2 linked regions of the Oryza sativa Japonica Group genome follow. Each later gene encodes a partner of the first gene's protein in a complex. Links are inferred from orthologs where the notes say so. Each region holds a gene or a part of one and is shown on either strand. Other genes may lie near its edges.

The links.
Region 2: protein RTF1 homolog (region 1) and WD repeat-containing protein VIP3 share a complex: the UniProt entries of both Arabidopsis thaliana proteins name them as parts of the nuclear PAF1 complex. The link is inferred for Oryza sativa Japonica Group from reciprocal best matches to the Arabidopsis thaliana genes VIP5 and VIP3.

Annotation. Positions count from the first base shown.
Region 1 is NC_089046.1:21,992,678-21,997,421, reverse strand, and holds protein RTF1 homolog, read right to left. Parts: upstream 3,105-4,744; 5' UTR 2,932-3,104; intron 2,806-2,931; 5' UTR 2,784-2,805; coding exon 738-2,783; 3' UTR 344-737; downstream 1-343. UniProt on the Arabidopsis thaliana protein: Component of the PAF1 complex (PAF1C) which is involved in histone modifications such as methylation on histone H3 'Lys-4' (H3K4me3). Involved in regulation of flowering time.
Region 2 is NC_089045.1:28,461,550-28,465,615, forward strand, and holds WD repeat-containing protein VIP3, read left to right. Parts: upstream 1-1,266; 5' UTR 1,267-1,348; coding exon 1,349-1,696; intron 1,697-3,057; coding exon 3,058-3,681; 3' UTR 3,682-3,898; downstream 3,899-4,066. UniProt on the Arabidopsis thaliana protein: Component of the PAF1 complex (PAF1C) which is involved in histone modifications such as methylation on histone H3 'Lys-4' (H3K4me3). Involved in regulation of flowering time. Required for the expression of the flowering repressor and MADS box gene FLC.

The sequences.
Region 1 (4,744 bases):
ACATTTACCAAGCTTTTGTGTCTAATTTGGAGTGCCTAGACAAATATGCGTTGTTCTTTATTAGCTTTTTGTACTGAAGGTTTAATTAAGCCTTTTTTGTGTATGCCTTTCGTGAGTAGACCAGCCTATGAAGCTTCCTGAGATGCAATGCAGCAGATGCTCAGCTTTATCTTACACAAGATTTTATTATTCAACACAAGCTTTGCCTTCTTCCAGTAGAAATTTTGCTATAGTATCACGGCCATTGCTATTCTTTTTTACATTTTGTAGTATAGAAATAAGAATCTGATAATCAACATTGATATAATGATTTAGACCGAACTAATTAAGGAACATTAGGAACTTTCATAACTTGACACATGTTTTTTTTTTCCTTTTGGCATATAAGTATACAACATAGAATATTTGTACCTCTTAGTCTAGTCTCCCAATATCCGCTGCATAAATGTTTTATGCAGAGCAACAAGGGTAACAAACTAAATAACAGAAGGACTCACTCCACAAATATTAATGCGGAAATTGTCATCAACACAATTCAGGCATACAGGTCCTGTTTATGAAAAGAAAATGTGTAACCTTGCTTGTCTCATCATGTTACATACACTCAAGGCTAAAATGCAAATTGATCTGGACAAGTAGTCACAATGGCATGGTGCCGATCAGCTGATGAACTTTGTGGCCAAAGAGGCAGATGAATCCATCGAACAGCAGGCAGAGGCACAGATAACTTGAGAAGTTCAGAGTAAACCCCGTCTTCTTTTGTAGTCACTGACGGTCAGAGTTAGAGCATGCCTCCTTCCATCATTGTCAGGGACCTTGTAACCCATGGTTGCTTCAATCTTCTGCTTCCTCGCCATGTAACCATCGAAGAGACCCTTGGGACCGCCGAATTCTTCCAGGCCGGCCAATGATATACCGAGCTCAAAATTATGCAGCAAATTCGATTCCGTTCCCAGATCTACAGGTGCATTGGTATCAACCAGCTTACCGGCATCAGCAGCTGCCACTAGAGCCGCTGCAGTGGCTGCTGAACCACCTCGCGGCCCGTTCTTCGTATCTTCATCGCCAGCTACTGCGCTGCCATCGTTCCCGTTGGGGACTTCAGCGCTCTCTCCTTCAGGCTTTGCTGCGTAGTAATTTCTTGATCTTGTCCATCTCCTTGAAAAGGGATCATAACCAGCCTCTCCAACCTTCAAACTCGTGTTAACGGGCTTCATTTCTGATGCGTTCTTGAAGTTCTCAGCACGGTTCTTCTTGTTCATCGCCTCCAACTTGGCAGCCTTCTCATTATTTGATATTGGCTTCGACATCTTCTGCAGCTGATTGAGCTTTGAACGGATCCTTTCTGCTTCAGCTTCATCCCTCCTGGCAATGGCCATATCCAACTCATTCCTCAACCGATCCTTCTCAGCAGCAACATTGATAGGACGTCTGATAGCTGATTTCTTCTCTTTTAGCATCTTCTGTACAGTATGTGCTGAATACACAAAGTTGTAGGCCTGTTGAATGGCTTCTTTCTTCTCCAATACATCCTGCCGAGTCGGTACTCGCACACCATTCTTCTCAGCCACTTGTAGCCACTTCTTGAACTCCTCTTCACTGGGAAAGGAGTCTGATACTTGAGTCATCTGCCACCGAGCAGCATTAGCCTCATTGTCCCACACAACATTGAGGTACTTGCACGTCGTGTAGCCCTCCAACTTGTACTTCCGGTCAGGGTCATTCGCATCCACGTTTCTAACTATGCATAGCCTGTAATCAGGGGTCCCTGATTTTGACTTGCCAATCCCAAGCCGCACAAAGCACCCAGACACAAGGTCCTCAAAGAACGGCTCCATGAACCATTTCACAAGCTTTGATCTCCTGAGGGTTATACTCTTCACATCGTCAAACTTCAGAGGGTCAAGCCTGCTTGGCGATTCATCAAACTCATCATCCCGGGTTTCATCGGTGATCCTCCCCCTGTTATCACCATCATTACTACCGTCGCTGGGCGGGCTTCCGGCCCTGCGCCTCGGCGGAGAGCCGCTCTGCGGGATCAAATCCTTGAACCTGTTACGGTACCCCTCCGGGTCCTGCTGCCTCATCCGCTTGGCCCGCAGCTCGTCCAGCGCGCTCTTGGCGGCGGACCTGTCGGTCCTGGCCGACGACCGCGCGCGGCTCGGCGGCGGCGGAGGGCTGCTGTCCCTCCGCGACTTGTCCGCCTTGGACGACGACGACGACGCCCTCGCCAGCTGCTTCAGCTTGTAGTCGTCGATCCGCGCGCCGCGCTCCGCCAGGATCATCTCCCTGTCCAGCTCCGACATCTTCTCCAGCTGCTCCTTGTCGTCCTCGTCCTTGTACAGGTCGCTCCCGACCGACGGCGCGCTGTCTGAGTCATCGCCGCTGCGCCTCCCCTCGTCGAGCTCGTCGTCGTCGTCGTCGTCGTCATCGTCGTCGCCCTCCTTCCACCCACCACCACCACCACCTCTCCCTCCGCCCTTCTCCGGCTGGTGCCGCTTCTTGAGCGGCACCTGCGACCCCGACGGCGGCCGCTTCCTCGAGAGGGTCGGCGCGGCGTCGGAGTCGTCGGAGTCGCCCCCGTCGCCGCCGCCGCCGCCGTCGTCGTCCGAGCCGCTCCCGCCGGAGTACGACGACCCGCGCCTCCCCCGCTGCTGCTGCTGCGACGACCACCGCTGGCCCTGGCCCGACGACGGCCCCCGTGCCCCGCCGCCCTTCCCCGCCCCCGTCGTCCGCCCCGCCGCCTGCAGCAGCAGATCCTCGAGGTTGTTGTTGTCCGGCATGGCCGATCAAACAGCAACTCTCCTGCACAATTCCACAAACCAAAATCCATCAACCATCGAATCAAGAAACGCGAGCCTATCCGGGATCTGGGACAGCGGAGGGGAGAGAGAGAGAGAGGGAGGGGGGGGGGGGGAAGGCGAGACTCACCTCGAGACAGCAGCAAGAACAGAGTCGGCGAACGCCGGTGGGGGGCGAGAAGGATGGTGGCTAGGCCTGCTCGGTCGCTGGCTCGCCGGGATCGATGGCTGGAGGCGGCGGAGACGGCGGCGGAGGAGGGGAGGAGGAGAGTGCGCTGGCCCTAGATGGGGAAGTTGGGTTGTGAGGAGATTCGGTTGGAGTTATGGGCTTTTTTGTGGGGCTTTACTCTTGGGCCCTTGGGCCGGGAGAGCCCAATGAATCACATTGTAAAATGAGATTTGTGTTTTTTTTAATAAAGAAGAAGAAGAAGAAGAATGTTGTCACATTACTATCTCAGTATGGTTCAGTTTGGGGAGCGTTTGGGGAGCTTATAACGGTTGCAGTTTCTCCTAAAAAATCAAACTCCCTAGCTGTAGATCCCCAAACAGCCTAGATTTTATTCCCGATTCTAAGAATTTGTAACTATAGAATCCAGAAAATAACCAACTGCTTAATCCTAAACTCCGTCAAACAGGTTCTTTCTATGTCTTAGATTTTCATAAGTTGTATTCTAATTTGAAAAGGTTATGCATTGTATTAGTAACTAGTCAAATTTGAAATACTTGTTGAAATTATAATGCATAGATTCAAATTTTGTCATCACAAAGGCCCCGTTCTTTCCTGAGTAATATTCAGATTCTAACTTAGTTTCAATTAGCACGATTTTCAAACTGCTAAGTTGTTCTAATATATTAAATAAATCTATTTAAAATTTGCAATAATTAAAACTCAATTAATCATAAGCTGATGTTTTTTTTTTTGTTTTCTGTGTCCTTAATCTACGTTTTCCCACGTTGCCAACCCCACCAAAATGTTGGTTTCAGTGATACTATTTCATAAAATAGTGATTGTTAGTTTATGTTTTAGTATTACCGTATTGCATACGGTAACTTTTAGTGCAATATTAGTTTGTGTGGTCGTTAAGGGACTTCAACAAAGGATGCAATCTGCATTCAACCAGAGTGAAAGAGAATGTACATTGGAACTATTCTAGTTATTTCAGATATAGATCAACAAACAAAGTACAAAATAAACTATTATGGATACAAGGTTTAAGTATGAAAAATATTGAATTCAGTCCTAAAAGTTGGTTTCATCCACTAGACCACTAGTGCAGGGCTCATTGAATCCTCCTATAATTCCACCATGCACTAGCAATTGCAGGCTAACCTAAGTATACCTAACTAATCTTGTGATTTCTTCTGAAGCTGTGCTTAGCAACTGACTACTCTACAATTCAATAGCTATAAACTGAAAATTTTATTTACAACGAATATTAAACATGGCCATATTACAATGCCGTGGAGCAAACAGCTTCAGTCACAGCAAGCAAAAAATATTATCAGGGCCTACGCTTTTCTCAATATGAAAACATGAGCGACCAAGAAACCTCAACGCTCATCCGGCAAAACCCAACATCAAGTGTGTCACGACTCCATCCACATCTTACCGGGATAAACTTTTTGGAAGCACAGCTGATGTTCTCATCACCACTTTGCCTTGCATGAACATCAACAATCAACGCTCCGCCATTTCCTTCAACTGCAACTACACTGCGGCAGAAATGAATGGCTCCATCATGGGAGAAAGCCACCATTTCTTCCCCAGAGTCCAGCAATATGACATGTTCATTGATACTAGCAGTATGTGCAATGAACTTTCCACAGAAATCAGTTGAACCTCCTGTAATCCTGACCTTGATTGTAGCCTCCAATGCCACAGGAATGTGTGCATACTTGAACTCCAATTTGCTACGTGCTCCTGATAACATCATACTGCGCAG
Region 2 (4,066 bases), on another chromosome or scaffold:
ATTCCTCTTTTCATTTTCTTGCATCATTGTCATTGGTCCCAAGAATGCGGGATTATTTCCACGTGATATATTTATACCTTTTCCTTGGATTTGAACTTGTTCTCCCTGGAATGGGAGTTTAATCTTGCAATTCATTTTCTTTTCATTCAAAAATGGAATCTATGACATGTTTGGTTTGCTGTTCAACTAACCCTACCAAAATTTAACACTTTTGGTTTGCATTTGGTTTGCAAATTCTGATAGTCTTGAATGCATTTGGTTTGAAACCTTACCAAATTTATTTTGGTATAGCTTTTAAGAACGCAATTTTCTGAAACCACTTAAATTTGATTGGGTAGCGGTAGTAACAATGGGGCTGACAGGATACGCTGGCCGCTGTTGTCTACAGTCGTTTCCAATGCTATCGCAGGCTCGCATCCATAGGCAGCAAACACAACCGAACACGTCTAATATGTTTGGTAATGTCAAATTTTGATAGGGCTCAAAAGTGAGAACAAAACAAGCATGCATTTCTACTACTTTCTTCGTTTTATATAAAAGACCCTTTGATCTTTTCCTAATCAAACTTTTAACCCAAATATATAGTAACATTTTTTTACCCAAAACAAACACACGACCATAATATATTAAAAGTTAGGTTTAACAAAACTAATCTGGTATTATAGATATTATTATTAATTTTTCTATAAACTTGATGAAACCTAAATAGGTTTGACTTAAAAAACAAAACAGTAATATATGAAGATGGACTTGTTATTCGAGGGGGAAATGATAGTATGGGCATTTACTTTTATCAAATGGGCATGCCAAATCAGCCCAGTTCAGCCTATCCTGAAAGGCCCAGTAAAAATGCAGGCCCAATTACTCCTCAATGCCCAATTCTCTTCTTTACAATTATAAAAATTAGATGTTTTGCCGTTATTTATTAATTTATTCATTAGTTTTAAAATACTGTAGAAGTCGTATAAGAAATCTCTTTAGAAAAGCTCTTATGCTAACTTAAAATGATCGGACTCCTAACTGCGACTTCTGATTTTCTTAAAAGAATATACATCCACGTGAATTCTCACAGCTAATTTCACTTTTAACTAAACCGCATAACAATAATAAGATTAAACTAGACTTCACATGTTGCAACAGACGTGCATTTTTTTTTCTATTTTTTTATTTTAAAATCATCTGAAAAGAAAAGAAAAAAAAAGGAAATTTACTAGTACTCGTATCGTCTTCCTCCTCTCTAAAACCCACGAACCCCTCGTCTCTCTCACTCCCCTCCCCAACCAGATCAAACGCTAGGGTTTCCTCGACTTCGACTTCGTCTTCCTCCTCGAGCAGAGCAGCAGCAGAGATGAAGCTCGCGGGGCTCAAGTCGGTGGACGGGGCCCACGAGGAGTCCATCTGGGCGGCGGCGTGGGTGCCCGCGGCGGACCACCGCCCCGCGGCGCTGCTCCTGACGGGCGCCCTCGACGAGACCGTCCGCCTCTGGGCCCCCGACGACCTCGCCTCCGCCGCCGCCTCCCCCTCGCGGGGCCACGCGCTCGGGGTGGTGTCGCTCGCCGCCCACCCCGCGGGCGCCGTCGCCGCCGCCGTCTCCCTCGACAGCTACGTCCGCGTCTTCGATGTGGACTCGGGCTCCTCCGTCGCCACGCTCGAGGCCCCTCCCTCCGAGGTCTGGGGCATCCAGTTCCACCCCAAGGTAGGTGATGATCCTACCCCCCACCCCACCATCTTTGCTTTGCGATTCACATTCTGAGGTTGCTTGACTAGATTCGTTGTGTGGGGGAGATGTGAGAGGCGTGGGATTTCAGTGTGATAATGTGGTAATTACAGTTGATTCGAGCATCATTTCCATCTGTTGTATGGGTTTGTATAGTTTGGAATATGTCTAGTGTGGTTTTTTTTACCTAGTGTAATGTGTGATCTTTTCTCAGATGTTTTAGTAGATTTTAGTATCATTTTAACTGAAACTTCATGACAAAAGTGTGGCCTTGATTGGCACTTTGTGGTAGTTTTATTAGATTTAAAGAAAATAAAGGAATCTAAAAGAATGTTTTCGCAAAGTTAAGGAATATATGCAAAGTGATCATTTCAATTTTCGAGCAGTTCAAATACGCAATTGATGACTGAGGTTTGGTTGTTAAATTCGGTGGGCAAGTCTGACAGTATATTCAGTTGTTACTGCTTATTATCATTGACCACAGTACCTCACTTTTGTGGAATAGCGCTCCTTCATCTCAACACTGCAACAAATTTAGTAATCGCTTTGAAGAGGATCATCATGTGAAGTATGGTGTTTCATGCATTGCTGGCAAAGTGTGTGCAACATTTACTGCATAGTCGCTTAGACTCTGAGAATAATGTTGAATCCTACCTTTTCGATTCTCTTTCAGACTCAGTAAATTAAGCGACAATTAATTGTGTATCCAAACTCATTGGACATATTTTTATCATAGTTACAGGTTTTGCATAGGTCCTGTTTTCATGCTTCCTTTGTATTTTAAAAATTGATTTGTATTCATGTTTTTCACAATATGCCAGATAATTATCTATTTGGGTAACCCACCTTTCTGTGCAAGATGACTAAACATCACTACGCCCATTGCAATCACTGCCAGAAATGGTTTGTCAAAGTAGCGTATCTGTGGTCAATTCATTTTCATATTGCCTTGTTGTGATTCATCTTGCTAATTTCCAGAACATACTATTTTTCTTAAATGATATTTTGGTATGTACTAAACCTTGCTAGAATTGACCTATGGCCTTAAGACATTATTTATTTTCTTCCATAAACGTGTTGATACAATTATGTCTAATTCAATGAGAATCGGAGATGCTTGTTCAAGCTTGTCTTCTCACTTGCAGTTGAGACGTGTTACGCATTCAGCGTTTTCCACTGTGCTATCTCTATATACCTTTGTTGACAGCATATACTAATTTTTCTAAAACCTGCAGTACCAGGAATTAACCTCCTTTTATGGTAGCCTCACTTTACTGAAGGTCTTCACTTGTTCTAGCTACTGACATTATTACCTCACCCACAAATGCTTTCCTTCACAGGGTAGTGCTCTGGCTGCAGCTGGTGGTGGCAGTGGATCAGTGAAGCTCTGGGACACAGAGAAGTGGAAGCCAATTACCAGCCTTGCTGTTCCGCGTCCAGAGGGAGCTCGCCCTGATAAAACAGGAAGCGGCAAGTTTGTCCTTTCAGTTGCATGGAGTCCTGATGGCAAGCTCTTAGCTTGTGGTTCCATGGATGGCACCATCGCTGTGTATGACGCAGTTCGCATGAAGTTCCTCCACCACCTTGAGGGCCATCACATGCCAGTGAGATCAATGGTGTTCTCTCCAGTGGACCCGCACGTGCTCTTCACTGCCTCCGACGATTGCCACATCCACATATACGACGCCAAGGAGAAGAGCCTCATTGGGGCCATGTCAGGGCATGCGAGCTGGGTGCTGAGCATCGACGTGAGCCCAGACGGCATGGCGGTAGCGACAGGCTCCAGTGACCGCACGGTCCGGCTTTGGGACATCAACACGAGGGCGTCGGTGCAGACGATGAGCAACCACAATGATCAGGTCTGGGCTGTCGCCTTCCGACCACCGGGTGGGACAGGAGTCCGCGCAGGCCGGCTTGCCAGCGTGTCAGATGACAAGAGCATCACCCTGTACGATTACTCATAGTTTTAACACTGCAACCTGCAACTTCATTGTAGTCAGCTGTTTCCAACTTGCATTGGAAAAAAAAACCTGTTGTACAATCCTAATTAAGCTCATGAGTTGCAAGTAGAGTGCGTTTATTTCCAGTATTGGCCTCAGAGTTGCAAACTCGCTCCTTATTGTTCTTTTGCAAGTGATCTCAAGTTGTCAGTTTGAAGTAAAAATATCTTCAATTCTAGCCCGATTAAGTGCTTTTGTCACTGGAATTTATAATCTTTTTTTACAGTCCTCATAAGCCATAATGTGAATATGTGTCTTGCCTAACTCTGAGACGCCTCAGTGTTTATATCTGAAGGTAAACATAGAAATGCGCTATAGAAATGCTTCAGTTTTTCAAAGTGAAGCATCA